Alligator mississippiensis: one gene and its partners. The protein of the gene in region 1 purifies or fractionates together with the protein of each later gene. This does not show direct contact. Links are inferred from orthologs where the notes say so. Each region holds a gene or a part of one and is shown on either strand. Other genes may lie near its edges.

The links.
Region 2: the proteins of PPP2R1A (region 1) and PPFIA3 purify together in Homo sapiens (affinity purification with mass spectrometry; 4 studies listed by BioGRID and IntAct, with this or other methods). This does not show direct contact. The link is inferred for Alligator mississippiensis from reciprocal best matches to the Homo sapiens genes PPP2R1A and PPFIA3.
Region 3: the proteins of PPP2R1A (region 1) and SLMAP purify together in Homo sapiens (co-immunoprecipitation; 5 studies listed by BioGRID and IntAct, with this or other methods). This does not show direct contact. The link is inferred for Alligator mississippiensis from reciprocal best matches to the Homo sapiens genes PPP2R1A and SLMAP.
Region 4: the proteins of PPP2R1A (region 1) and INTS4 purify together in Homo sapiens (affinity purification with mass spectrometry; 3 studies listed by BioGRID and IntAct, with this or other methods). This does not show direct contact. The link is inferred for Alligator mississippiensis from reciprocal best matches to the Homo sapiens genes PPP2R1A and INTS4.

The regions. Positions count from the first base shown.
Region 1 is NC_081838.1:29,894,995-29,902,080, reverse strand, and holds the start of PPP2R1A (serine/threonine-protein phosphatase 2A 65 kDa regulatory subunit A alpha isoform), read left to right. Parts: upstream 1-4,072; 5' UTR 4,073-4,108; coding exon 4,109-4,186; intron 4,187-5,780; coding exon 5,781-5,871; intron 5,872-6,053; coding exon 6,054-6,154; intron 6,155-6,621; coding exon 6,622-6,854; intron 6,855-7,086. UniProt on the Homo sapiens protein: The PR65 subunit of protein phosphatase 2A serves as a scaffolding molecule to coordinate the assembly of the catalytic subunit and a variable regulatory B subunit.
Region 2 is NC_081828.1:39,864,002-39,871,283, reverse strand, and holds the start of PPFIA3 (liprin-alpha-3), read left to right. Parts: upstream 1-4,268; 5' UTR 4,269-4,402; intron 4,403-7,282. Other genes in the region: LIN7B (protein lin-7 homolog B), read left to right, coding at 1-81, 957-978. UniProt on the Homo sapiens protein: May regulate the disassembly of focal adhesions. May localize receptor-like tyrosine phosphatases type 2A at specific sites on the plasma membrane, possibly regulating their interaction with the extracellular environment and their association with substrates.
Region 3 is NC_081835.1:20,914,131-20,921,699, reverse strand, and holds the start of SLMAP (sarcolemmal membrane-associated protein), read left to right. Parts: upstream 1-4,556; 5' UTR 4,557-4,636; exon of another isoform or gene 4,637-4,752; 5' UTR 4,753-5,585; coding exon 5,586-5,783; intron 5,784-7,569. UniProt on the Homo sapiens protein: Associates with the striatin-interacting phosphatase and kinase (STRIPAK) core complex, forming the extended (SIKE1:SLMAP)STRIPAK complex.
Region 4 is NC_081824.1:465,164,235-465,172,182, forward strand, and holds the start of INTS4 (integrator complex subunit 4), read left to right. Parts: upstream 1-4,941; 5' UTR 4,942-5,031; coding exon 5,032-5,085; intron 5,086-5,164; coding exon 5,165-5,356; intron 5,357-7,948. UniProt on the Homo sapiens protein: Component of the integrator complex, a multiprotein complex that terminates RNA polymerase II (Pol II) transcription in the promoter-proximal region of genes.

The DNA of each region.
Region 1 (7,086 bases):
TGGGAGGGACTGGGTGGTGCCCAGCTCATTTCAGGCCTCTCAGGCGTAGGCACTGCAGTGCTGGGGGCCGGCACTCAGCTCCAGCACAAACCCGGGCAGAGGGGTGATCATTGTGGTACCAGGCCCAGGCGGGTGCAGGGCAGCCCCCGCCTTCCCTTCCCCGGTGCAGCTGAGCCGCACACCCGTGACCTCCAGCACCTGCCCCTAGGGCTCCAGCACCAGCTACACAGCCTCCAACGGGTCTGCAGGCAAGGGGAGGGTTTTAGAGGGGTGGGCAGGGCCTGTGGGTGCCTGGGTTTGGTGAAAGCCTGAGCCTGGTAGTGCCAAGGATGAGGCCTGAGCGTGCTGGACAGGCTGGGGGAGTGGGGCTTGGCGTGATGGGTAGGGCCTGGGGTGGGTGAGAGCCTGCACCTTAAATCAGAAGAGGTGGGGCTTGAGGATGACAGACAGGCAGAGTGGGCGGGACCAGGGAAGCAGATGCCAGGCTTGGGCAACAGCCTGAACCCAGGGCTACAAATGGGATGGGGCTTAGGCTGATAGACAGGTCTGTAGCTGCCATTTTCCTGCTTTCCTGCCCACTGGCCGCTCTGGCATTACGTGGTTCCTGGCTGCATTGCTAGATAGCGGGAGCACAGGGCCCACACCAGTACCCCGGGGCCTGGAACAGGAGTTGGGGGTAGGGGGCAGTTTGCCTGCACACATCCATGCAGTGAGAGAGGGGGAGAGAGAGACAAAGCAATGACAGAGTATGCGTGTTTATAGGGCAAGTCACACACCCCACTATATACATACACCCACCCTCGCTTGCATTGCCATACACACAGACCCCCACACCCACTCCCCCTCCCACATCTCTGCCACCCTCTTCCCCACACACAACCTCCCACAAACCCCAAACCCACCCACACCCCACATATCCACATACACCCACATGCTCCCTCACCCCACGCCTATCCACCCCCACAGAATCCTCCCACCTCCACCCTCCCCCACACCCCGCATACCCACAGCCCCCCACAAATCTATATGCACCCCCTGTGCCCCACCCAATAGACAACCATAAGACTTCATTTTAAGCTATTATACAATCACCTCTGTGTAGACTCAGCAAGCACATGTAAATCAGGACAAAAATATTTTTGAAACCAAATTAATGCATGTTTTCAATGTTTGATTTTTAAACTATAGTTTGGTACTTTTCTGGTTCTGAGATGGCAAAACCCCTTACTGAAAGGACAGACAAGGTTCTTTTGGAGGCAAGGGGAAGGACTTGTGCATAAACGACCCGTGCCCCTGGCAGCTGGTGGGGCACAGTGGCAGGGGGAGCATGGCGACAGCAATGGGAGGACAGTGGCGGTGAGCGGGGAGCTCCTGCAGCTGCCACCGGCAGCATTGGCGGCAGCCCATGGGGATCGCTGACCGCCCACAGACGCCACTGGCAGTGCCGGCGGCAAGGTGGTGAATGGCAACCACCTGCAAGCACCTTTTTGGAGGGGATGCACTGCCATGCTCAGGGGGTGCATGTGCACCTGCGTACACCCCCTAGGCATCACCCCTGGACTTCTGGTGGCAGGCGGCAGGACTTCCAGTCCCAAGATGATGACCAGGGGGCGGGGCACCTGTTAATGGGTGGGGCTACCCATGTGGCCCTCAGCAGCTTGCCAGAACCCGAAAATAATTGCCCGCCCCTGGTTTAGATGCTGCAGCTGTCTATGTTGGTTCCCCCAACACCTCCCACTACCTCCCCCACCCACCTAAACATACCTGTAGGGGGCGCTGAGGCAGGGAATCAGGGGTCAAGTGAGGGGAACCAGCAGGGCTGGGACATAGGCGAATGGTGCCACCTTAGCCCAAAATCACTTACTGGGTTGGACTCGGGTGCTGGGAGTGCCTGTGGAGGCTTGCCATGGCCTGAGATGCGCCCAGCTCTGGGGTGGAACTGGCGGGAAACAGTCAGTGACCGTCTGGGACAGGAAGTGGGGACCTCGGGCCAGACACGGCTGGGGCAGGTGCTGTCATGGGCAGATGTGGAAGTGGCCCAAACCAGGGCCTAAGCAGGATTCAGCCTCTCCCTGCTGTTAGGAGAGAGATCCCAGGTGTCTGGGCTTGCACAACCCCCTGCTCTCACCCACCTGCCCCTGTTGCCCAGAGATCCCAGGCGTCCGGGCTCCCAGGGGATAGAAGGTGCATGTGTCCAGGCCCGCTTGTTAGACCCGAGGCTGCTCATGGTGCCAGACTTTTAATCGCTCCCTCTAGCGTCCATCCATCCATGCCTCCCTCCCTCCCTCCATCCATCATCCATCTTTATATTCATTCACTCCTCCATCCCCAGAGGCCCCCCCTCTTCATCTGTCCATCCATGCATGCTCAGATGCCTTCTTCAGATGCGGGTCAGGAGTGACGGGGCAGGGCTGGGGGGAGCAGGGGCTGCGGGTTGGGCGTGGGGGGCACGGGCTCACCCCAGCCCCGGCCCTTCCTGCTCTGTTGCAGGATACGTCTGGGGACGAAGCAGCCAGAGGTGAGAGCTCAGCCCCCACACGGCCGCCCGGATGCGACCTGGACCCCCGTCCGGCCCTGCTACATCGGGGGCCTGGTATCTCAGCCCAGCCTGGTATCTCCTCCCGCTCTTCTGCCTTGATTAGCCCCATGGCCACGAGCAGGGGCTGGGTCTCCCCACTGTGTCCCCCCTTGGCGCGATGCTCAGGAGCCGCTCAGGGTCTCTGGGGACAAAACATAGGAGGCTTCAGGAAAGATGGAGCCGCAAGGGCCCCTGTATATGTAAGAGGGCAGCAATGTGCTGGTTCCCCTGTTTTGGAGCTGATTTCCTTTCCCGGTCACCATCAAAAACCTCCTAAATGCTTGCGTTCGGCTGCATCTTTTAGGAAGTCAAGAGAAGAGGGGAGTTGTTGCGTGTTTGCAGCTCTGGCCGAGAGGGGGCTGGTGCAGGGTACCATGAAACAATGGAGAGAGGCCGAGAGAGGAGCGTGTGGGACTAGGCAGGTAGGTATGTGCATAGGTGGATGGATGGATGGATGGGTGGATTGACGTAGCGCAGAAGGTGGGCTGCATGGGGATGGATGGGTGGGTGGATGAGTAGATAAATAGACCGATAGACGTGTCGGTGGGTAGAAGGACGAGTGAATAGACGTGTATAGGAGCAGATCGGTGAGACGGTGTATCGGTGGCTGGAGAGAGAGGTGGGGAGCGGGGCGGGGCTCGGAGCAGGCAGGCCGGGCGGGAGCGGGTCCGTGGGCTGTGGCGCGGGGGGAGGCAGCCGGATCGGGGTCTCGGGCGGCAGGCGAGGTCCCGGGCCCCATAACATCCACTGTGGGGGCCACAACGATCCTAGCTGGTGCTCTGACATCACAGCGAGTGTTATGTCATCCCCTGGGCTGCAATGTCATCTTGGGTATGACCTCATCAGCGCAGGGCTTTGTGACGTCACCCACGGCGCTGTGGCATCATGAAGGCACCCACAGTGCTGCTCCCGTGACAGAGCCAAGATGGCCGACCTTGCGGTTGCTAAGGGCAACAAGTATCATTCCCCGCCTTAGAACCACCCAAGCCCCAGTCGTTCTCGAGGGTTACATTAGGATTGGACTAGTGCCATGTCAATCAAATCGAGTGGCCAATTATCTGAGAGAGAGGGCGGGCGCTGGGACACGGAGTGCCGTTTTCCTCCCCCAATAGAGTGTAAGTGAACGGAGATTGACAGGAACTATCTAGCCAATGAGAAAGCAGAGGCGGGAATTCAGAGGGACGCAACCAATAGGATTTAAAGGAAGGTGGGGTACTTTGAGCTCTCGCCCAATGGCGTTGTGGAAGAGGCGGGTGCACTGGCCCCAAACCCAATGGCGCTTGTAGCGCAGAGGGGACGGACCAAGTGTCATCCAACCAATTAGAGCGCGGGCTGGATGTGGCTGACACACCCCTTCGGCCAATCACATCAGGGGAAGCGGGGAGACACTCTAAGTGACCGCCAGCCCAGCCAGTGATAAGAGAGAAGGGCAAGACAGGGGCCCCGGCCCAGCCAATCAGCGCGGGGCCACCCCTGCAAGGCGGCTAAGGCGTCCCCGCGGCTCTTCAGTAGCTGGAGCCGGGAGCAAAGATGGCGGCGGCCGACGGCGACGACTCGCTCTACCCCATCGCGGTGCTGATCGACGAGCTCCGCAACGAAGACGTACAGGTACCGGCGGCGTCGGGGCCCCTTAGGCCGCACCGGCGTCCGCCATCAGCCCGGCGCTCAATCACGCGCCGCGTCTCATTGCCGCAGCGTGGTTCGGGGCATGAGAGGAGGTGCCTCATTGGCCGCCGGCGCCCCTCGTTGGAATGAACGCGGGGGGACCGATGTGGGGGGGCTCGTCTGAACCCCGAAACCCCTTCGGGGGAATGAGGAGCCCCTTGATTGGGCGGAGCAGCGCCTATCGGGGCGCCCCTCACTCCCTGGATCCTCTTCGGCGTGAGAGGAAGCCCCTGATTGGCTCAGAGCTTCGGACTGGGGTCAGTGAGGGACGCTGTTTGTTGTCGAATCCTGCATTGTCTTTTGTGGGATGGGACGAGCCCCCTGATTGGCTGGCATCCCCCATTCATTCCCGTGAGACCCCTCATTTCCTTTTGGGGGAGGTGCTGAGAGCAGTTTCTGATTGGTTGTTTGCTGGAGATTATAGAACCTATTGGGGGGCCTGATTTATTGCATTGAGGGAACAAAGTGTGTGTGGTGGGGGGGGGGGACAGGATGAGAGGAGTTGACTGATTGGTTCTTCCTGTACCCGTACCCCTGTACCTCTATGGGGGCCAATTGGAGGGGCTGTTTCACACTAGGGGTCCTTTTGAGGCGGGGGGAGGGGGGGTGATTATAATGGGTTCCTGCCTATGAATGGGTGGTGTAAGGCTCCTTCTTTTTAGGTGGGGTGGGCAGAGCCTATGGGACCAATCCTGGCTTGTTCCCTGTGGTAGATCCATCCTAGGAGCCAATCAGAACCTTTCTCGGTGTCACGCCTGGTCTGGTTGACTGCAGGAGGCTTCCTCAGCTGCCAATGACAGCCTTTCCCCGCTCTCCTGGCATTCCCTGCTATTGGCTGGGATCCCATGGTATATTCCTGCAGGGCGGGGCTTGTAGCAGCCAATCGGAGTTTTCAGCCATAAAATGCAGCCTTCTCAGCCGCCCGCCCCTCCCCGGGATGGGGGCGTGGCCGGCAAGGCTGTCCCACCTGGTTGGCTGGAGCAGAGGTTGCTATGGGGGAGGCAAGTCCTCCCCACGGTCTGTGGGGGGAGGGCAAATATACCCCCCACCCCTGGGGGGGGCAGTTAGGGGATCTGCCCCAGTGGGTGGGGCTTCTGGGGTGGGTGGGGCTATATGGGACTGGCTGGGCAGGTTGGACCAGCTGTGACACAGGAAGGGGCGGAGCCATGCAGGGGCAGGGACCTGGTCTGTCGCAGGACACCCAGGTTCTCTGCCCGGGGCCTAGGGCAGAGCTGAGGGTGGGGCCCGGACGCCTGGCTTCTCTCCAGCTCTGCGGGGGGACACGCACATTAGAGCCCCCGGCTCATCCTCAAACCTGAATCAATGCGCCCCTCCCCCCGCCATCCCCAATCACTCCTGACCCGCAGCCCCCTGTCCCCCAAACCTAGCTGGTGCCCTCAGGCCTCCCCTCCCCTCCTGCCGTAGCAGGGACCTGGTGCCCCCCGTGTTTAACCATTGATGTGCCAGCCGGGCCTCAGTGCCCCCGTGACCTCAAGGAGCCTTTGCCCATCCCCTGTGATCCCCACTCTCCCCACAGCTCCGGCTGAACAGCATCAAGAAGCTGTCGACCATCGCGCTGGCGCTGGGCGTGGAGCGCACCCGCAGCGAGCTCCTCCCCTTCCTCACAGGTACCCACAGGCCTGGGTTCTCTGGGAGGGGGGAGAGGCTGGGGGGTGACAGTCCGGGGTGCTGGGAGCCTGGATGCCTGGGTTCTTCGGGGGGGCAGAGGATCAGAGCAGGGTTGGGGGGCTCGGACAGCTGGATTCTTCGGTTGCTGTCAGCAGCCTCTGTCCCTCTTCTCCCCCCGCAGACACTATCTACGATGAAGATGAAGTGCTGCTGGCACTGGCCGAGCAGCTGGGCACCTTCACCGCCCTTGTCGGGGGGCCCGAGTATGTGCACTGCCTGCTGGTACGTGCCCTGGTTGCCTGGGTTTTTTGGGGGGTGGGGGGGGATGGTCCTGGGAACTTGGGCAGTGGAGCATAGTTGGGCAAGGGTGCCCGGATGCCTGGGTTCAGGGCTGGCTCTGGGATTTTGGGGCATGGTCCTGGATGCCTGGGTCCTTTCCCAGCTCTATATGGCCCGTGGGCTCCCCTTGCGGGGGTGTGGTGGTGCCCCCGGACACCTGGGTCTCTGTGGCCAGGATGGGGCCGGATCTCCCAGACACCTGGGTTCAGTGTTGGTTCTGGGAGGTGGGGAGGATTCTACAGGGCCTGCCCTCCCAGATGCCTGGGTCCTCCCCTGACCTGAGGCAGAGAGGGGGCAGGACTGTTGGGTGGGGGGGCAGGGCCTTTTAGGGGGAAGTTGACCTGGATGCCTGGGTTCCCCCCGGGCCTGCCCCACCCTGCCCTGAGCTCCCGGATGCCTGGGTCCCACAGCCACCGCTGGAGAGCCTGGCAACAGTGGAGGAGACCGTGGTGCGGGACAAGGCAGTGGAGTCCCTGCGGGCCACGTCCCATGAGCACTCGCCGGCTGACCTGGAGGCTCATTTCGTGCCCCTAGTGAAGCGCCTAGCGGGTGGCGACTGGTTCACATCCCGTACCTCAGCCTGCGGCCTCTTCAGCGTCTGCTACCCCCGCGTGTCCAGCGCCGTCAAGGCTGAGCTGCGCCAGTGAGTGCCTGTCATGGAGAGGAGGGAAAACTGAGGCTGGGGGGTGGTACAACCATGGTGGGGGGGACTGAGGCAGGGGGCAGGGTGATTTGGGGGCAGAAGAGAGGCTGGGAGGGGTGGGGATGTTTGGGGGCGGCAGGGCCATGGCGGGGGAAACAGATACAAGGGGTCATTTTGGGGGAAACAAGCTGGGAGTGGGCAGAGCTGTTGGGCTAGGGCCATTGGGGGGAAA
Region 2 (7,282 bases), on another chromosome or scaffold:
ACCCAAGGTGCTGGAGGAGATGGAGGCCCGCTTCGAGAAGATGCGCACGGCCCGGCGCCGTCAGCAGCACGCCAGCTACTCGTAAGGGACCCCCTGGCCCTCTCCATTCCTCCCAGCTACTCATAAGGGAGCCTCCCACCCACCCCAGCATGCCAGCCACTTGTAAGGGATCCCCCAGCTATTTGTAAGAAACCCCCTTGGTATTCCAAGTGCCACCCCTCTCCCTCCCCCCCCCAGGACAGCAGGTACTTGTATGACAGTCCCCAGATCCCCACAGCATAACAGCTTCTCATAAGCAGTCACCCTAAAACAGCAGGTACTCATATGGGACTCCCTGGGGCTTCCACACCCTGCCCACCCCTCCCAGGCTCCATGCAGCACAGCAGCTACCCCATAAGAGACCCCCAAACCATGCAGCCTCAGCCAGTCACCTGTAAGCACTGCCTCAGGCCTGGAACCGCCTGTCCTCCTTGCTGGGAGTCCTTGGCAGCAGCACCTTCCCAGAGACCCCTGAAGTCCGCCCCCACCAGCTCCTCAATGCTCCCCTCCAGCCATGGCAGCTACTTCAAAGGACCCCCCCTGAAACCCTGCAAACCCCCCCCCCCCCCCAATTTGCCAACTTATTCCTCCACTTCAGGGCTCCACACAGTCCCTACCGATTGTGTCTGCTTCAGTTACTCATAGGGAATCCCTGCCCCCACAACCTGTCAGCTAATAAAGACCCCCCCAGACCCCTTGGGAGCTGCCCAAAGCCCCTGGCCCAGGAGTACCAAGCCCATGACCCTGCAGCCTACCCCACAGCCTGCTAAGGGGCCCCCCCTTGGCCTCTCCATGCCCCCCCTGGCCCCTGGCACCCCCTTCATAGCCCAGCAACCCCCAGGGTTAGGTCCCTCTTTACCCTGGGGACCCTTCCCCCCCATCCCGAGCCTGAATAACTCCTGCCTCTGTCTCCCCAGGTCACTGGAGTCACGAGGATAACGCCTCATCCCCTGGTGTCTTGGCAGGAGGGTGCTGAAGACACCCCCCCCCCCCCCCCCCCAAGTTCTGTAAGTGGCTGGCTGACCCCACCTTGGGAGGCAGGGGCCTCTTCCCTCCCACTTTCCCCAGTCTAGCTACCCTTCCCCACCCCCAGTTCTCAGTATGGCTGCATCTGCTGCTCCAGCTCCTCTCTGTACAGTATTTATTTCCTCTCTATTTAAAGCCCTTCCCCGTATGTGAGTCAGAGCGAGTGTGAATCCATGCGGCTGCCTTGCACGTCTGTGAGAACCAGAGGCAATGGGAATACCCCCTGGGCACACGCACATACATGTCTATATACACACACACACACCTGTGTCCATCCCCAGAGGTGGCTGCACCTCTGTGCCAGGCAAGGGGGTACCCTTACTGTGCCCCCCCCCTCCCCCTGCCCAACTTTGAAAGTGAGTGCAGTGCAGTGAATGGCCACTGGGTGGTGAGAGCTGCAGTGCTCCCCACCACTGGTCGTGCCCCTCACTCCTGACCTGCTGCCCCCACCTTGCTCCCCAGCCCTGCCGGTGCCCCTCACTCCCAACCCACAGCTCTTTTTTTTTTCCCCCAGCCTGGCTGGTGCCCCTCACACCTCAGACCATTTCTGTTACCCTGCCCCAAACCCCCTGTTACCCCTTCTGGAGCAGGGGACCCAAGCATCTATGAGCCTCCTGCAAGGGTGTAGCAAGCCCTGCTCAGCCCCCCACATATTGGCTGTGGGAGAAGGGGCCAGGCCTGGGAAATGGGGCCCTGCCCCACTCCCCAGCACTAACTCAACTCCCCCCCCCCCAGGTGCCTGGTTTGGTCCAGCGGCTCTGGTGCCTGGGAAAGCGCTTGAAATTCCTAAGGGGGGGGTGGAAGGGGGAGGGGGGGCCAGCAGCCGGGATGCCTGGGTTTTCTCCCCACTCTGGGAGGGGAGCAGAGCCTGTCTCCTGGCAAGCCAATACCTGGGCCCTGCAGATTGTGCTTGGATCGTGTCTCTGTGAATAAAGGTGTGAGCGAGTCCGTGACATACTGATCCCTGTCGTTTGTGTTGCCAGTATCTCGTGTGACCTGCCGAGGCTGCAACACCCCTCTAGCAGGCTGGGCTGAGAGTGGAGTGTCCCCTGCTTCTCTCCCTCCCTCCCTCCCAGCTTGGCATCACCCAGGACCTGGAGCTGAGCAGGTTGGGATCCCCTACCCACCAGCCTTGTGGACCTCTGTGCATCTCCCCTGGGGAGGGACTTCCAGGTGCTGACAGTGAACAGATCCTATGGAAACAGGGCTGGGACAGCCAGGGGCACTGGCTGCCTGGGAGGGGAGTTGCAGGGATAGGGCAGTATCTTGCCTCTCTGAGTGGGCACCATGCCGAGGAAATGGGGGCACCAGCTGGCTGGAGGAGGGGAATATTTTTTGTCTGCTAGTTCCATCCAAAAGCTAACCCCCTTCCCTACCTTCTCCCAAGCCTCATGGTAGTGGCCTGATGATCACCTGGGCATCCTTGTGTGCATTCATGCAACACTAGTTTGAGGAGGAGGGTGGCAAATGGACATCTGTATGCAACAAAGGCACCTGAGGTGAGCAGAGGTGCACTGTGGGAGTTCATGGGCCACTGCTGTCCCACACTGCAGGGCTGGTGGTGTGTTTCCTTGTGTTGCACATGCTAGTGAATGGCTGGGGGCATCGGTCAGTTGTCTCCTGCCCCTTCTGGGGGGGCACCCCTCCCCACCCATCTTGTCCCCTGGCTTACAGGTTTCAGGCCTGGTTCTTGGTTTTGCTGAGGGTGGGGGCTGGGTGGATGTTGTGGGGCAAAGGGACCCTGGCCTCTAGGGTGGAGATCAGACCAAGGCTTGATGCAGACTGTAAAGGACTGTTTAAGCAGCTGGAGCTGCAGGATCTCCGTACTATCAGAAGAGTCTGCCCGTGCCATGAGGCTGCATGCGAAGGTGTGACACTATGTGAAAGCATGTGCTCTGGATCAGTGTTATGCTTGTGACTCCTGCTGCTGTTGCTGCTCCTGCCCTCCCTGCCCCCAGAGCCCTTCCAGGTACATGTGTGCCCTGTGTGGTGGGGGTGAAGCAAGTCATGTGCGTGGAGGCCTCCAGCTTTCATGGGTTTCATTGTGTTGCACTCTATTTGTTGCACATGTCTTGGGTTCTTGTGCATTGCATGTTCCGCATGTTGCACGTGTCTTGGGTTTCTGTGGGTTGCTCCACTGTTCTGCATGTCACACATGTCTTGGGGCTCCTGTGGGTCACACTGTGGTGTATTCTGCGTGTCACATGTCTGACTTGGGCTCTGGTGCATCACACTTTGGCATATTCTGCAACATACGTGTGTCTTGGGCTCTTGTGGATCACACCTTGGAGTGTTATAGGTGTCAAGCATCTCAGGCTCTTGTGGGTCACATCATGGTGTGTTCTGCCTGATACACATGTGCCTCACTCTTGTGCATTGCACCATGGAGTGTTGTGCATTTGGTGTGTGCAGGCTGGTGTGTTTCTCTGCACCAGGGCTGCTGATCCACCATCTTCCCAGGCTCCTCCTGCTGATCTGTGTGACAGCAGTGCACTTGTGGACATGGGGCAGTGGGGTGTGGAGCTCTCCAGGGTGGCACAAAAGTGCCTGTTTCTCCTGTGGGGTTGCAAGTGTGTTCTGGTGTTTCATGGGCTACTGCTAACCCCCACGGGGCCTGGTGTGTCCTTGTGTTGCATGTGCTAGTGAACCTCCTGTGCTGGCACGACCTGGTGTGCTTCTGTTGTGTGGCATGTTTCCTGGAGTGTGCCCACGGTGTGGTGTTTGTCTGTGGTCTGGTGTGTGCCCATCACGTGGCGCGTAGCCATGGCCTGGCGTTTCCCTGGGTTGCACGTGTCCGTGGCTCTTCGTGCGCGCCCTGGTAAAGGCGCTGGTGCCCTCCTGAGCCAGGAGCACCCACTCCCCCGCCCCGCAGCCCCCAGCCCCTCCCCCGCTACCAGCCACCCACCGGATGACATCATCCTCAAACCTAACCCCGCCCCCCAGTCTCTCCATTGGCCTGCAGCTTCCCCCCCCACACGCCCCATTGGCCGGCTAGCTCTGCCACTTGGAACCCCACCGCCCCCTCCCACCCCCGCGCGGGGGCGGGGCTGAGGGGCTGCCCCGGCGTTTCTCCGGCTCTCATTGGGTGGCGGCACTGTCCGTCAGGGATCTCTTAAAGGGGCCGGTGGGGAGGGGGGAGGGGGCTCCGCCTGCCGGCGCTCGGCGCTGGGGAGGGGGCGGCATGGCGCGGGGCAGCGGCGTCCTGCGGGGCGCGGGGGCAGCGGCGGGCAGCGGCGCCTGAGTGGGCGCGGGGGGAGCGACCCCCTCCATCCCCCTGCAGCCCAGCCCGGCCCGGCCCGGCCCGGCCCGCCGCAGCGTCCGCACCGGCAGTGCAGAGGTAGGGCCGGCGTCCCCGCCCCACCCCGAACACCCTGCCCCTGCCCCGCCGTGTGCCCGGCTCCCCCGCGCCCACACTGCCCCCAGCGCACCTCGGTGCCCCCCTCCCCTCATGCCCGGTGGCTCACCCCTTCTCGGCCCGCACCTCCGGGCACCCGCATCGCGCACAGCCCGGCCCCCTGCAGCCGCTGCTCGTCCGCACCCCCCGGAGCCCCCCAGCCCGGCCTCCCAGTGCCCACCCTGTGCACCTTCCCCCTCCGCGCCCCCACACGGATGGCTCTGCCCGGTCCCTGCACCCACTGCCTGTCCTCCCCAACCCCCACTGCACCTGCCTGCCCCCCAGGCACCTCCATTGCCCACACCACACTGCACCCTGCCAGTGCCCTCTTTGTACCTCTGCACTGCCACCCCATGCACCTCCATCCCATCCTGCCCGAAAGCTCACTGCTGAGCGTTGACTTGAGCCCTGCCCCCCCCACCATGTACCTGCCCTGGACCCCCTCCCTGCACCCTATTGCCCATCCCCCATGATGTATCTGCCTAGGCCTGGGCCCCACCCGTGCACCCCCAACCCATCTGCCTCCCTCCTGCACCTATTGCCCATGCCCTGCAACCCCCATCACACAGGCTTTGCCCCATACCCCCCACAACATCATCCAGTCTATGCTGTTCCTACCCCAGCCCTGATTTTCCCCCCACACCCCAGCCTGGGGTCCCTTCTAGGGGGTGGTGGCTACGCTGTCCCTTGGCTTCCTCCCTTACAGGAGCTTCCCCCCACCAAGTCTGCAGGGCGATGGAGTCTGTGTCTGCAGCTAGGCTGGGAGGAGGGGTCTGGCTTTCAGGGTGCCAGGCAGTATCTCTGTCTTCCCCTCCTCCCCCTCCCCCACAGCCTGGCTGGGGGGGGCGGCTTAGAGCCCCGTGGACCCCCCCACATTCATCTCCTTGTGGGGCTGGCAGGGAGGAGGAAGGGGGGCATCTGTGCTGGGAAGAGGCCTTGGGCCAGGGTGGATTCTTTGCTGGGGGGGATCTTTGCTCCCCAGAAAGGGCCCCAGGCTCAGACCCTGCTCCCTGCCCCCCTTCTCAAAGTCTGCACACATCCCTCTGCCACCTCAGTCAGGTGTGAACAGGTGCAAAGGGGAAGGAGAGCCCCTCCCCTGCTCATGCTTGCTGAGGGTGGAGGGGGGGGCATGTGGACTCAGGCTTGCATGCATTCACACAGCCCTGCACACGCGTGTATGTTGCCCTACACTTGTGCCCACTCACATGCCACAGACCCGCTTGTGCACTGTATCCATGATGTGGGGGTGCATGCGCTGGCATCGGTCCCTTTCCATGTTCTCTGGGACATGCATGGTGCTGTTGTGACACACCATTGGTGCGACACCTGTATGCTGGCATAAGCTGGGAGGCAGTGTTGGCATGATGTGTGTAGGTGGAGTCTCCACACCTTGTGCAACACATGTGCGGCATCACAGACATGCTAGTGTGCTATTGGTGTGATGCGTACACCATGGGTGTGATATCCTTTTGCACATGCTGGGGCACTATTGCTGTGGCACCCTGGTGTATGATTGCTCCGTGGCCCACATGCCAGTGCATGCACTGATACTGTGTTGGTATATGATACATGCTTGTGTCTGGAAGCGGGGAGGGGGGTGTCTGGAAGTCCAAAGCCTTGAGGATCACAGGAGCCAGAGGGGAGGGTCCTGGAGTGATTGTGGTATGGCTGAGGGTGCACAGGCATGTCTGTATGTGTTGGGCCTCTGTGCATGAGGGCACTGGTGTGTTTCTGCATGTGGGGTCATATCTGTAGGTACACAGGGATCTGTGTGTATGTGGAAGGAGACTATCTCCATGAGGATGCAAGGGGCTCAAACCAGCTGTGGTGTGCCCAAGTGTGCCCGCATGTCAGTGACTGTGTGCGTCCCGGCCTGTGTTGGTGCCCAGGCCCCAGTGTGTGGCAGTTGCACATGTTGCTGTTGGGGAGGAATGAGGTATGTGCATCAAGGGCATGCATGTGCAGATGTGCCATGGTCCTAATGCATGTGTGTAAGTTGGCACACAGGACCAAAGTTGACTGGAGCATGTTGCCGTGTGGTTCTGTCCTTCAGCCCCCTGTGAAGTAGGGTGCACCTGAGTGTGTGTGTGTGCGTGCACGTGCGCACACATATGCTTGAGCCCCCATGTCTGTGCGTGTGTGTGCATGTGTGCATGTGTCCCTGCATGTGCACGAGTCCCCAAGTGTTCACTAGGATTTGTACAAGCACCCTTAGGAATCATATGTGTGTGTTTGCACATGTGTGGCTCTGCATACCGTGTGGCATGGGCCCCTGAGGACTTGGGTGCACATGTGTGGTTCTGTGTACCAGGCTCTGCAGTGGTCTGAGGAAACTGTAAACACCTTGGAGTTTGCATGGGTGTGTTGTATGTCTGTGTGAACATGTGTGGCCCTACATGCCACATTGTGCCAGGTCCCAGGTAGCTGTGTGTGTGTGATCACATTTGCTTGCATGTGTGTGATCACATGTTTGCACCTGCATAGGTGGCTTCGTGTGCAGTGTTGTGCAGGGCCCAGGGGAGCTGGGTGTGTTTGTGTGTGTGCACATGTGTTTGCCCATGGCTCCATGCACTGCTTTATTCATGGAACTGGGTGCCTGCATGCCTACCTGTGCATTGGTGTATCCATGTGCAAGAGAGCAAGTGTGCTGCAGCATACAAAGCCCTGAGGCCTTGTGCATACATGTAAATGTGTGCACTGTGCTGTGCAAAGCCGCAGGGAGCTGCTGGGGACTGTGTGTTCACACAAGCACATGCATGTTGTGCAAGACCTGAAGGAGCTGTGCTGGTTCATGCACACGTGTCCTATGTGGCAAGGCTCTGA
Region 3 (7,569 bases), on another chromosome or scaffold:
TGTGCTTAGGGAGGGTGCTGGCAGTGCTGGGAGAGAGGTTATGGGGGTGGGGACTGCAGCCACCCCAAATTTTGCCATAGTTTCTCTCCCAGTACCCTGCCTGCTGCCCCGAGTGTAGCCTTGAGCACAGCCCTCATGCGCCAGGAGCACAGTTCTGAGCAAAGCCCACATGTCCTGGGAAGAGCCTGGAGCAGCCCCGGCCCACGACCGCAGCCCAACTTGCCTGCACCCTGTGCAGATCCAGGGGCACAAGCCCCCCATACCCTCCCAGGGTGCACACAGTGGGGAAAGCCCCTCCCTCCTCCGTGCCCCACAGACGAGCCATGGCTCCATCCCATGCCCTGCCCCAATGGAGCAGGGGCAGGTGTTGCCCACTCCCTCCCTCCCTCCCCCTGGGAGGGTGTTGCTCTGCCCCCCCACCACACCCCTTCCTTCCACCACAACAGACTTACCAGCTGGATGCAGCTCTTCATGCTGCTGCGTTGTGGCATGTAGGTTGACATTATATACCTCCAGCACAACCAAAGAAGTGATTTTCCCACTCTACTCGGCACTGGTGAGACCACAGCTGGAATAGTGCGTCCAGTTCTGGGCACCACACTTTAACAAGGACACGCTAAAGCTTGAGTGAGTCCAGAGAAGGGCCACCCGTATGATGAGAGACTTGCACAGCAAGCCATATGAGGAAAGGCTGAGGGATCTGGAACTCTTCAGCCTGGAAAAAAGAAGGCTGAGAAGGGACTTGGTAGCAGCTTACAGTTACATCAGAGGCATATGTCAAGGGCTCGGTGAACAACTGTTCACCAGGGCACCTTTGGGGAAAACTACAAGTAATGGTCACAAACTTCTGGAAGACTATTTCAGGCTCAACATTAAGAAAAACTACTTCAGAACTAGGGTGTCCAGACTGTGGAATAAGCTCTCTCCAGAGGTGGTGCAATCGCCTACACTGGAGATCTTCAAAAGACCGGACAGGCACATTGCTGAGGTCACCTGATCCCAATTGTCTTCCCTGCTTGGTGCAGAGGGCTGGACCCAATGAACTTCTGAGGTCCCTTTCAGCCTTATGGTCTATTAATCTATTAATTTATTGGCCAAATTATCGGCCACATCAGGCCAATTTCTGACGCAATCAACTTTCTTTACATTGGTGCCGATACAAAGGTCTGGATATTCCACTCATCAGGTTATTGTTTGTTCTGCAATTCCACCATCTGTTAGTTGCTGCTCCTGTAATAAAGCTCCTGTTTCACAGCTCTGAGATAGTTTTTAACTCACTCCAACTTACATTTGAATATAAGTTACTTATATTTTTCTTGAATCTTAAACTGAATAATACAGTTATTACAAGTTATTCGACATATTAGTAAAGCTTCTAATTTATTTTTAACTAGAGAAAAATATGTGGGATGATGCACCTCACCATCAGCACCCCCTTTTCAAATTATATATCTGCCCATGGTTGTTTTAATTGTTTGGAAAGCAGAATGCTAGAAGGGATGCAGTTTCCCAGGTACAGCAGGCAGGCCCTACTGACACAAGTGAAGGTGTGTTTTACTGGGGCCTTTTAGACTTAGAGGCAACATGAATCCCAGTCTCTTCAATCTCTCCAGTCTCTTGTCATTTGGAAGTCTCTCAATTGCCTCTGTTTAATTTCCTGGAAATAGTCTCTCTGGAATGTCTCTGTTCCCTATAGTCATGGTCCTGCTCTATTTTATTTGATATAGAATGACAAAAAATGAACACATTATTCTGTGTACTACTGGCTCATCTAACAGCAACATAATATTTTCCAATATCATTTCCCATCCTGTTCCTTATACCAGAGACTCCAGAACTTTTCTATAGTGAAACTTTTTCCTGGAATTCCCACTCAAGATGCCCACTCGCATCTAGGCAGGATATAGCTGACAGCACATTTCCATGTACTAACTTGAAAAGGACAGGGTAAGTATCATTCCTCTGCCATATATACAAAGTGCCAAGTGATAATTTCTATACTTGATATATCCTGTTATTTATTTTGATTTTTTTGATCACCTAGTCCACAGTGCTGTTCCAATTTTTTCCCCAAATGATCCTAGTTAAGTTTGAATTTATGGCTGTGTCCCTGCAATAAAAGTTCTTTAAATGTTGAGCACCCTGCAGGACCTAAGAAACATTCCAGACATTCAGGCCAAAGTCCTAACGTTAGGCAGGTATGCACATGACTCAAAGATGCTGCATTCCACAAGTCTGGCAGGCGTCATCTCCCCTAGAAGGGTAAAGGTGATTTGCCCTTCATTCCCTTATCCAAAATGGCTACTGACAATTGTCTTTGCCCTAAACAATGATGGCTGTCATATATAACACTTATAGACTTTCTGCCCTTAACTATGATGGCCACTGAATGTGATCTTCCTGCCCTTATCTAACATGGTTGTCAAATTTCACCTCTTAGGCTCTGTGGCAAATGACAGTTTGCCTGAACTGAGCATGTACTTGTAAGTCATCTTTACTCCTGGCAATTAGTCTACAGTTGCAAATTCTGCACCAGAGCCCATTACAGATGCCTAGCCACCTGTTCCTTTTGCTGGTCAGAGGGACACTTTGAAAGGTATCAAAGACCCCAGAAGCTGTTTTGCACCCCCACTTTCTCCAGTTTGTTAAATAAGAACTGAAGTAAAAAGGAAAATATGTAGACTATAAGACAACACCGTGTGTGTTTGGTTTTAAAAAACTGTAATTGTAAAACCTACATACAGTGAGTGATCAGAAGATGTTATTTCTCTATTTCTGCTGTCCTCTAATCATTTTATTCCCCGCTCCCACAGAGTATAATTTTTTTCTCTGATGTTTTTTCCCCTTGAGTCTCATCATCAAACCCTCTTTCCTTTCAATCAATCAATCCAAGATCCTTCCAAATATTTAAAAGGATTTGTTCTCACAGGAATTCTGTCCTATCCTTTGCCCCATGAGCATACATTTTTCTACCATCTCCTTTTCTATTCTCCCCACCTTCAAAATGTCTGAATGTATTTCTAGTAAGTCAATCTGTTTATCCAATCCATTTGCTGTAACATTTGAATTTCGCTCACCGTGTCCCTAATCCTTTTATAAGATTCCTTTTCCCCATGACTTGCTACAAACAGCCTACGTAATGACACTCATTAAATAAACTTATTTTCTGATTGTGGGTTCTGGGTCACAATCAGATAAATTTGAGATATGTCAGCAAAATAAGCCTCTATTTTAAATATACCAATTTGTAGGTGATATGCCATATGCTTTTGAGTTTTGGAAACAGTGCAATGTCTTGAAGTTTGAAAATCACTACCATAGTTTCATACCTCTTGTACAGTTACCCCTCTATCACTTTTCCCTTTTTGCCTTCAAAATTATGCAGTCGTTTCTCATCTTAGATATCACTTCCCTGCTTCCAACACCGTAATTGATTCAGTGCCACCTGGCTTTTAGTCTCTTCCCTCCCCTAAGACTTCTCTTTCTGCCATGTCCTATGTTTTCATTCTGCTTTGACCTTTGTTACCCTTGACACAGTTATCCACCACTCTTCCTTCCTCTTGGGCTTCTGGCACTTTTCACAATTCCAGTCTCTCTCATTGATTGTTCACGGCCGGCCTCTCTCTCTTCATTCGTTGTTCTTATTTTTCCTGCCTGACCTCCACTTCCATCTCTCAGGGCTGTATCCCTAACTACCCTCCTCTGCATACTGTGTCAAAGGGTGATCTTATCTGATGGCCAGACTTCATTTTTTATCTGTATCGCTCAAACTGCCAGCGAGCCTCAAGGAGACTGAATGGCCAAGGGCCACATTGAACTAGTACTCGAGAGACCAGTTCCACCACTGCATTTTACTTGATTTTGAGCAAATCTCTTTGGCCTCAATTCCCCCTCTTTGTAAAATAAAAATACATACGGACCTGCTTTATAATCTACCGACGGAAAATGCTGAGTAAGAGGCGGGCATTGCACAGTGGATACCTAACTCTTTTTTTTTTTTGTCCTCTCCTGTCCTCTGCTCAGCCCTGCCTCTGCAATTATCCTTCCCACGTCTCGCTCTCTTGCAATCTGGGACTTTAATTGGGTTAAGACCCAGCCGAATAGATAGGCGAATGCCTTGCGAAAGTGAGACACGCCTCGCAGCCGCGCAGAGAAGAACCTCCGAGCCGAGGCCGGGGCAGGAAAACCCGGGGGGGGGGCAGGAAAACCCGGGGGGGGGGGGCAGCAAACACCGCTGCACTGTCCGCCGGTTTAGTTACAACGAGAAGCACCCTCCCCGACCCCACGTGGGAGAGCGGCCCCGGGCCCCACCGGCTCGCAGCGAGCTGAGGCTGTCGGCACCTCCTCCCCTCCACGCGCCCCGCACCTGCGGCCCGTCGCCGCCGCATGGAACACCCGGAAGCGCAGCCCGCAAGTGCGGGCACCACCTCCAGCGCCGCTTCACGGCACTCAGCGCGCAGGCGCTACAATCCCGCGCCTGCGCCCTGCCGAACCCGCGCCTGCGCAGAAAGTGGGAGGCGGGCGCGGGGCCTTCCCTTTGGTCAGGCCCGGTGCGAGCGGCTCCTCCCTCCCCCGGCTGCCCCCCCTTCCCCCGCCATCACCCGCCTCCCGGCCGCTGCCGCCGCCGCCGCACCGGGTAGGTTTGCAGTCACTATGGCGGCTGCAGCGGGGAAGGTAAGAAGGGCGGGGAGCGCTGCGGCGCCCGCACGGGCCGGGCCGGGCGACTCTGACGCCGTTTCTTTGGCTTTGCAGGTCGGAGGAAAGTTTTCGGCGTCGGCGGCCGCCTGAGCGAGACCCGGCCCGGTCTCCAGGCCGCAGGAGCGGGCGCCACCCGGATGCGCAGCCACCTGCGGGGCCCCTGAGCGCCGCCCCGCGCCCGGGAACCGCGGAGGCGGCCTCGCTCCGCGCCCCCCGCCGGCCCCCGGCCCGGGCAGGAGCAGCCGCGTCGCCCCCCCCAATCTTGGACCACTGGCTCCTCTCCAGGGATGAGGGCGGCGGGATGCGGCAGGTCGCGGGGACCAGCTAAGCCACCTGCCCCTTGAAGGCTTCGTTCGCCGTGTGCCTGGACGCTGCGCCGTGCCCTTCCCCGGCTCCTCCTTCACGCCTTTCCTCGCTCCCACATTGTGGGTGTCCAGTCAGCCTTGTTTACGGAAGGGGGTGGGGGAAAAATCGAGGGGGAGGTAGCCTGCATCCATCCCAAACAGAAGTCTTGGCGTGTGACTCATCAGCTTGGCTTTAAAGATCTCCCTTGCTTCGTTCAAAGGAGCGCACTCCTCTTCGGAGGAGCCCCATGGTTGTTCCTGTCTGCTCCGAAGAGGATGGATTGAAAGCTGCGTCTTCTGGGCGTCGCTTGAGGCACTGCTGATCTTCTTCGTGGACATGATGGGGCTTTTTCACTGGATTATTGCCAGGATTAGTTTACACACTGAAACTGTGCGTTGTTAGGCCTCGCTGGGTGCAAGTGATGTTTGTCTTGCGTTCATGTAAAGTTTCTGGAGATTTGGGTTAAAAATTGTGGAGGGTAGCCTGCATCAGAAGAGATTCTCTTCCTCCCTGGTTGTTGTGACAACCGCAATCTGTCCTCGATGCCTTCAGCCTTGGCCATCTTCGCTTGCCGCCCGAACTCTCACCCGTTTCAGGAGCGCCATGTCTACCTGGACGAGCCCGTCAAAATTGGCCGCTCAGTGGCCCGCTGTCGGCCAGCTCAGAATAATGCTACTTTTGACTGCAAGGTGCTGTCCAGGAACCATGCACTTGTCTGGTTTGACCACAAGACAGGCAAGGTAAGGCCATTTTTGCTCTCCTGGAGAGGAAAATAATATATGACAGGTTATTTTCAGCAAGTCACTGTACATTGTGAGCGACTTGTGTTTTTCCTTGAACTTGGTTGCAAACTAAGTTTATGCTGCGGCTAGGGTTTTGGGGTTTTAGTTAACTTAAACTCTACTAAAGGCAAAAAAAACTGAGAGCAGGGTTTGTGAAATGCATTAAGTAGTAGAGGAAGCTGGTGGATCTTCCCATGATCACTTCTCATTTCTGGGGATGCATGACTTTCAGGGAGGAGTATTTTATATAACTCAAGGAACTGAGTTATAAAACCTGAAGTAAGGTAAATAAATGCTCATCATGGTAACCATGAATAGTTATTGTTATTCTGGTGGAACTGGCATCTCGCCCCAGTGCTGTGTTAAAATGGATGTATCGGCATGTATTTTTTTCCTAATACTTAAATATATATCTGGTATTCATATGCTCAGAAGAATAACTCTTAATTTTGAGCAGCTGTCATGCCAAAAGGAAAATAGCGAAGGAAAAAAAATGTATTACTCTGGTATTCTGCCAATTTATGCTATCAACTTTTGAACAATATATTTTAATACTCCAAGCTGATAGTCACAGTATCACTAGCAGGAGCATTGTAGTTTAAGGTTTGGATTATCTGCTATCATTGCTCGTGAACTGGAATTAAAATATGCTGATGTGGTGTTAACCTGGCCACAGTCCTCTCGAAAGAGGACAGCAGCTAGCACTAAATGGAAGTTTAAGAGCTTTGTAATACTTGTTTATGTCCACTAGGGTCTGAACTGGAACAGGCAAAATCACTTTGCTTAACCTGTCAAACAAAATATTTAAACTGCTAACTAGTAGTGAGAGCTGTTTTCTTTCCCCTCAAAATCTTCAGTCCTCTCAAAAATATGTACTAAAAAGCATGAAACATTTTGAAAAATGGATATAAAATGGGTGTGATACTTTACATACTGTAATCTAATTCAGTTGTCTGATGACTGTCTTTATGTGTTCCTCTATTAATTACTCTTTTTATTGCTTTGTATTCTAACAGAATACCCTGAATAAGCTGCTGCACCCGGTTTTTTCTTTTTGTTTGTTTTCTTTATTATCATGACACAGCATGAGGACCAGTGCGATACCCTGACAATTCTTAAAGCTTCAGATGTTAACTACTATATGTTATGCAATACATAGGCATGATGGGACAGGACATGAGTTTAACTTTATTAGGTTGGGTTGGGGCATGACTTGTAGATTACTTGGGCATAATTGCTCATTAACCTATTATTTGTTTTGCTATTTTATTTGACGCGTTATGATTCCATGTGATGCTGTAGAAGAGATGCATGCTTGATGCATTGCATATAAGCCGTTTAGGTTATAACGTCAGTTTAAAGACCTGGGATGCTTTCAAGTGTGAGCTAATATGCAGTTTTTCTTGTTTGAAATAATAAGTTGGATGCAGTAACCTAAACTATCTGGTGTAGTCCAGCATTTTTGACAGATGCATTCCAATTTTATTCTGCTTTCTGCCTGAGCTTCTCGGTGCTTTACAAACTTAATTAAGCTGCTTAACACTCTTGTGATATGAATAAAGATGCCCTTTTTTACGCAAGGTTCATTTCATTCACAGGGAGGCTTTGATGGTGGGCAAATCAGCTAAGTGTTGGGAGAGCTTAAAAGATAAGCAGCTCTGTTGTTTTAGTCTAGTGCAGTTAGCTTTAGACTTACCAATGCAAGTAAAACATGAGCTTTCAACATACAGAATAAACATGAAAA
Region 4 (7,948 bases), on another chromosome or scaffold:
AAAAGCCCTGAGAGATTAAAACTGCTGTCAGGACCCAGAGCAGGATAGGGATGCACTGTCCTTCCCCTTTTCCCTCTCACCTAATTCTATGCCAGAAGCCAGGACTGGCAGTAGAAGAGAAAACTCTCTGCAATGCACTGCCACCAAAAGATCCCCTTGGCTCTGTGGGGATCCTTCTGGGACCTGCCAACCAGTTTGACTGCAAGAAACAACTGTGGGAGCAGTGCAAACATTCAAAGGACCCAATCCATAATGTTTATTTTTGAGGAACAGGGAGGATAATAGGCAGCTCCACCTCCAGACACGAGGTTGCATTTCCAGGGTGGCAGGGGCATGGGGATCATCTTTGTAGAGCAGCCCATCAGATCTGGCAGTGTCAGTGGGACGGAATAAATGCAGGACACCAAGTCCTTAGTTTGATTATAACTTCACTCTGAAGGTCCTTTAGATTAGTTATACATATTCAGATGAAAGTCATATGAGCACATGCAACTCCCATTGAACCTCCTGGGAGCTGTGCTCATTCTTGCCATGGTTATATTTGGTCCTCCACTGAGAAGTTAAATGCTGTAGCACAGTGGCTTTTAGCCTGTGCTCTGTGGCCACCTGGGGGTCCACAGACTATGTCTAAGGGGTCCATGAAAGATGACTATGATCAATCAAAAGCAGGTGAATAGCCACAGTTATAATTCAAAGGGATCTGCACCTCCATTCAATTTTTTTTTAGGGGTCTGCAAATGAAAAAAGGTTGAAAACCACTGCTGTAGTACAGTTTGCCCAGCAGGCTGGATGGGCAGTGCCTGGTCTGTCCACGGGCTGGATGCCAGTCTGACGCACAAGTCAGATGTGGCCCCATCCAGGTGTGGGGAGCGGGATGGGGCAGCCCGACCTTGATCCAGCCATGTGACATAAGGGGGTTAGCCAGGTCCCAGCGAGGCCCCCCAGGGTGGGGAAGAAGCATAGCATAGCCCCATGAGGGGAAGAGGGTATGGCCTGGCCCCCTTTCAGCCATGATTCGGGTATGCAGGGGAAGGGGGTTTGGTCTGGCAGAGGGCATGGCTCAGCCCCACAAGAAGGGTGTATGGCCCAGCTCCAACCCACTGCACGGGACTTGGGAATCTAACATCAGGGGAGGGTGGTGGTATTAATCATCACTGCTCCCCACCACTGCCAAATTCCTGTGCCATGGCTCTGCAAGCTGCATGTGTCTTGTAGGCTGGAGGTTGAGCACCCATGCCTTTGCATAGTGTTTGTCATCCTTTTCCATACCAGGATCCCACATTAAAAAAGAGAATCATCAGGGCCCTCTCTCACCATAAAGAAAGATGTTATGCTGTCCAGGCTGACAAGCTATTCCTAAGCAAATATAATTATGTTTATTTTCATGTATTGTCTTGCAGTAGGGCCATAGAGCCCCAGTTCTGGACAAGGACCTCAGTGTGCTATGTACTGTACAAACACAGAACAAAAACTGTTTGTCATTTAAGAGGAACATGCACTCCTCTTGAGTGCAGCTGTGTTTAGCTGCTTTTCTTGCGACATCTGTTAATGTCGTCACGTTGCAAATGAATGCGGGCTTTCGAGCTGTAAGAAAAATCCACAATGATTTTGGAAAGGAGTGCTCCTAAAACAAAACTCAGTGGAGAATTTTTGCCTGAGCAGGGGCGCAGGATTAGATCTCATACACTGTTTTGAAAAATTCTTAAGATTCAGAAGTTTATTTTGTATTTATTTTTCTACTTGAGGCCACAGTTGGTGATTTTAAGGAAATGGAAAGCTGCAGGGGGGCCTGGAAAATTAGACTGGCCATTCGAGTTTGTGGGTATGTTTACTCTAACTCTGAGAATATGGGTTGCCCCAAGGGCAACGTGTATTACAGGTTGCTAAATAAATATATGTTTAAAAGCCTCTTTGTACAAATTAGATGGGCCTTCTTTATTCATCTGTTCTCCTTGTACACTACAGGTTTAAAAAAGTAAAATACAGTATAGAAGGACTGACTGCTGGTGCAGGTATTCCAGGAGTGTGAATAAGGAATAACTCCACTTGAGCCAATGCAGTTATACTGTGGACAACAGGAATAAGTGTGAGGAAGGTTAGTGCCATAATATTTAGAAGCTTAAGCAAGAAGTTAACTTTTTAGGAGGTGTCTAAAAAGGTTTAGAAAGAGGAAATGTTAAAAGGATCTGGTTAGCTTAGTCTAAAAAGAGCAGACTGAAGTTTATTCTAAAGGGGATGGTGGTGAATTACTCTCTGTGTCTTTTAAGCATAGAAGTTGTCATCTACTTGATTTGCAGCAGTGGCCATCCAGATTAGCTCTTAAGAAAAGACTTGCTAACTATAAGAATAGTTAAGCACTGGAACAAGTTACCTAGGGGGCTGTGTCTAGTTTTTAGGAACAGGTTAGCCAGACAGCTGTCAGGGAGAGCCTAGGTACATCTTGGGGAGGTTCCTACTTCACAGCAGGATGATGGAGCATATGACATCCTGAAGACCCTTTCTGCCCTGTATTTCTATGATTTCTTTTAATGTATGAATTTTGGTGTCCAACTTGAGACACCTTTAAGCAGAGTGACTATATCTTTCTTGTCTCGAAATGGGACACTGCTTCCCACCTCCTCCCCTCTCAGTTGTTTCTGAGTTCCTGTTTCAGCTGAGTGTGGGGGGAAGGATGCCGAGTGCTGGAACTGGGGAGGAGGGAGGGGGAAACAGCTCTGTGTTCATCAGCACTCACTATCCCTGGTGACTTCTGAAAATCCTGGCCCTGACCCTCAATGTCCTGAGCATGCAACATTCCCAATTAGTGCTAAGGTCCGTTGCTCTAAGGTCCAGAGCTCTAAGCTCAGATCCTAGGTACATTGAAATAAAAGTCTCCCTTGACTTCAAGGGAAAAGAACCTGGTCCTGTGGTTCACTGAGCTCATTCTGCTTTCAAGGCAGTCAACCACAGGTGAGGGAGCTCAGCATTTCATAGGATGTCACAGAGGGGACTATCAGGAGGATGTATGTCAAGCTCAGGGCTGTGCAAAATGGTCAGATGCAAACCCAAAAGCTGAGTTCTTGGTCTTGTTACTAACACGAAAGATGCCTCAAGTTTAGAAAGACACGTCTCAAGCATGGAATTTAAGTGGTGCTGGTGGTGATATTATTGTTAGACATTATAGATCGAAGTCCCGTATCCCTTACAGACATGATTGGGTCTTGCAGCAGTAATGCATTTGTCCCAATATCTTCTCTATGAGTCTATGTGACTGACTGGTATTTTGAGAAACTATCCTTTCAAATCCAAACACCCAAGTGTGAGGGAAATGGGTTTCAAATCTACACACAGCTCCAGAGTCAAAACTGGTATTTGGCCTCTCTCTTTGGAAAACAGAAAGTTTAAAACCTGGGTTCCCTTTATAATTTTGGTATTTATAAAATCCTGTCTTATGGAGGGACTGCCCAGCCTCCCTGTGAAACTGAAGATAGTTTCCCAGGGAAGGGTCTTCTTAATTTCACCAAAAACCAAATAAACTGTCCTGGAATTTCCCAACGCATCTTAGAACAGACATTTTTTTGGAGAGTTTGGGTTGCTTCTGCACAGCTTCAAACCTTTCCTGAAAATAGAGAACACAAGCCAAACAACCAACCACAACCAATAAACAACAGGCAATGAAGTATTTCTTCATGTACATCTGAGTGCTGCTTGAACCATCACGCATGAATCAGGCCGGGAAACCTTCGGCAAAACAGCTTCACCCTTATGTACCCAGCCTCCAGCCCAACCCCTGCTGCAGCACACTCATCGAGCTTGCAGACCAAATCCTCCCATTTGAAAAGAGGTTGGGATTTTTCCCTATTTAAAGAGACATCAGGATCAGGACCTGATGCCCCCTGCCTGCAATCAAAGGCACACTGCCAGTGACATCGGGTTGTCCAAGCCTTAGGGGAAACTGTAAATAATTGGCACGAAGCGAGACCTTCTTCTATATATTTTACCTGTGCCTTTAGACCACGTTCTGAGCACACGTGCAGGTATTGATCAGGGCACAGTGCTGAACCAGCCAACAAGAACAATGGCAACAGGAACTGATCCTCCCGCCTCCCTGAATTGAGCAGCAACAGCCCTCCCCTGGCAACCCCACGCAGGCAAAAGCATACACAAGTAAGTCAGGCCTTGCAAGAAATGAAGTGGGGGCTCTAGGACCCACAGAGCAGCGTCTTGATTAGGATGCACTGAGCTGTAAATTCAGTGTACGTGAGGAGATGCAGAAACAGGGATGTGTTTGTGGTGCTCGATACACCCCCCTCCTCACACTGGGGAAGTGAAAAGTGAGGAGCCAGCCCCCAAATTATACTGATTTACTAAGAAAGAGGCATATCTCCTGCCACGCCTGGATGCTGCTTGTTAAAGCTCGGCCAACTGCAGCTAAAGGGAGGTGTGGGTCTCTCTCCAGTGTCTGGTGAATTCGTGCCTGCCAAGGACCACGCGCTCCATCCTTGTGGACAGCCACGGCTGTGAGCGCAGAGCGTGCCAGGCAGGGCTCGAATGACACTTGGACCCTTGCGGGGGAGCCTGCAAACAAAATTAAACCAGTTCATTGATGAACAAATCCAGCTCAGCGAAGGAGCAATCTGCTCGGAGACCCCCCCCTCCCTAGGTTATAATTTCCAAATCTTATATCTCTTATGGGGAGCCCCCCCACCCCCAAGCTCCCCCTTCATTTGCACCCTAGTGCCACGCACAGGGTGCCTCAGTGGTGCACCCCACGCGTGCAGCAGCCAGGCCAGTGGCAGCATTAGCATGACCCCCTGCCCCTGCACCAGGCTGCAAAGGCAGCTCCTGACTCAGGGATCTGCATTTCTCAAAGGGGACAGCCTGGCTCCCACAGCAAGCCCCGCCCCCTTCGTGGACCATTGAGAGGAAGACCTCCGCGGTCCTAGAGAGGCCCGTCTCGTTTCCTCTGTGTGCTGCGGGACGCTGAGAGAGACAAGCCGGCTACGGTGGCGGCGGCGGCTCAAGCCGCGCAGGTGAAAGGTGGCGCCCAAGATGGCGGCGCACCTGAAGAAGCGGGTGTACGAGGAGTTCACCAAAGTGGTGCAGGTAACGGCCGGGGAAGGGACGGGAAGGGAAGGGAAGGGGGGGGGTCCGCCCGCCCGCACTAACAGCCCTCCGCCCGCAGCAGCACGAGGAGCCGGCGGCCAAGAAGCTGCGCCTGGCCAAGCCCAGCAAGTCGGCGGCGCTGCACGTGGACCTGTGCAAGGCCGCCTCGGCCGCCGACGCGCTGCAGCACCTGCTGCACTTCGCCCGCCAGCCTGTGGAGGCCGAGAGCGTCGAGGGCGTCGTCCGCATCCTGCTAGAGCACTACTACAAGGTGGGCCGGGCTGCGGCTCCGCCATCCGCTCCCTGCCCTCTCTCTCTGTCTGTCCCTCCCCACCATGCTGCGTGTCCCTTCCTGATCTGCCACGTGCCACATGCAGGCTGCCCGTGCCACTAGCATGACGCCTGCCACAGGTTAGCATATAACTACGCAAGAGTCTGATGAGCTTGTATAGAGGTGCTTGGCTGTGTTAGTCTGAATCAGGCTTTAGGTAAGGCAGGCTTCAAACATGGAGGCTCACTGGTTTGGAGAAGCACCAGCTTTCACAGGCAGCAGCTTCATCAGATGTGAGGAGCGTCCATTCCTTATGTTTGATGAAATAGCTTGTCACCTGCAAAAGATTGTCTCTCTGAACCAGTTAGCCTCCAAGGTGCCAGCCTTCCTTATTCACTGCCCATCCCCTGTATGAATTGTACTGCAGCTTTTACAACCTTGGTGTTTTTGTTGTCTGTTTCAGCAGACAGGCGAAGGAGTTAGCACATATTCTGCATATGCGCTATCTCCTTCAGGGTCAGGCTTTAGTTATTGGGGTAGCTTGGTGTGAGAGAAGCTAGAAAGTGATTGCTGTATCTGGTTTGTGAACAGGCAGATTCTTACTCTAGGCTGCCGATCTAGTCTCTGTCATCATCACCCTTCAAGTTAAGTTTTATTAAAAAACAAGAGAAATAACACATTTTGCTGTCAAGATGGTGGTCTTCTCCTTGGTCGTCCTTCAGCTTTGTCTTGCGAATCATAGCCTTATTGTAAATAATGGGTCTTTATTGCAAGCTGAAGCTTTGTTTCTGCAGATCCTTATAACAGTTTCGTTTTAAATCAGTCATTCACTTGCCCTGTTGAAGAAGTCATGAGGGAAGTTTCAGTTTCAGCCCAGGAATCTGCTGTCTGGCTGGAAAGAAAATATTTTGTAGGTGAGAGGTTTAGAGCGAACTCTGTTTTTTAACCCCGTGAATCCTGTTCTGTTTAAACAAATGATGTGGAGGCTCCTTATAGCCGTTCTTACTCGCTTTACAAGATGTTGGATCAGCTACACATGTTTCCCTCGCTTATGGTGTACATGAGTTCTTGGAAAACAGCACATAACTTGAATTTGCATAAAGGGGACCGACCTACTTTACAATGTAACAAATAGGGATACTTCCAAGAGCTCAACTGTACTGCCCCCCAGACCCACTTCTGCCACTCTTACAAGATAACTTTGGTATTCACCAACAGCAGACAGTACACACAAGCACAGCTGTGGCTCCAGAAGCACGGGCACCAGCTGCCAGGGCTCTGCGCTGATGGGACTGGACTAGGTCAGGCTGTAGGGGCTGGTGCTGTAGCCTGACCCAGGCACCACCACCCGGCTCAGTCCCCCCCAATTTTTTCTTCCTCTGTCTATGGCATCACTCCCACAATGCTCCGCACAAAGCAACTGACTGCAGGCCTCCACTACACTGATTGCATACAAGTGAATTTATCTTGCATATAATAAAGGTTTGGTATAAAAAGAGTCATTGCATAAGAGCGATTTCACACATACAGAACCTGCATAAAGCAAGGGAAACCTGTACTAGTTCTTTTCCAAATATGAATTTACAATGTTCTTAGAAAAAAGAAAACCCCACAATGTAGGGAACCTAATATATCAAGGCCCTGACCCTAAGAAGGTGTTGGAACATTTTGCCTGTAACATGATTTTCTCTCTTTTTTGTGATCTTGAGTAGGAACAGTTGAATGAAACTGTCTAGGTAGCATGCTTATTATTCGTTAGAATATGGTCAACCTTTTGGCCCTGTGGGCTGGGTGAGTAGCATGAAGCCAGTCCGCGGGCCAGATCTGTGCAGAGTCAGTGTCTAGATTGTGCCCTGTGTGGCCATTGCAGAACCATGCTATCCAGTCTGCTGGGCTCCCCATGGGTCTGGAAACTTGGCAGCAGGGGAGCAGCAATTAAGGTTGCCCAGTTCCCCTCCCACCATGAAGAGTCCTACAGACTGGATGATATGGCTGCTCAGGCCAGATTTGGCCCGCAGGCTAGAGATTGAGCACTGTTTGTATTTCAGGGGACTTATCTAGGGTTCAGATGCATATCATCTTGTTGGGAGCCGTTGTACAATCAGAAGGTAGATGAAATTCTGCGTAGATAAGGACAAGTGAGCCAGTGTTGGAAGGAACAGTTTTAAATCCGCACATGAGGCCAGTATTTCCAGTACTGAGCCTCTGCAATAGGGGCCAGTTTTCGACATGCACTAACTCTGGTTATGGTGCTCCTGGTCAGACTTTTTAAAGAGCCTGGCATCCAGCCTGCTGAACTCCTCTGAAAACATGGCCACTCACTTGGTGCCTAAATGGGGTGAGAGCTGTGCTGTTTTGAAAATATAACCTTTGAGGACTCTCCGTTTTAACTAGAACAGTCTAGACAACCTTTTCCCAGCTCTTTCACTTCACCAGGAAGAGGGGCTACAAGTCACTTCTGTACTGGTCCATGAGGTGATCGCTGGGCCTAGAGGGTAGGGTAGGTTTCCCTGGCTTTTCTGGGAGTAAAGGAAAATCAATTCAAAAGTCTTTTAAATTAAAAAAAATAAAATAAAATCACAATTCTCATTT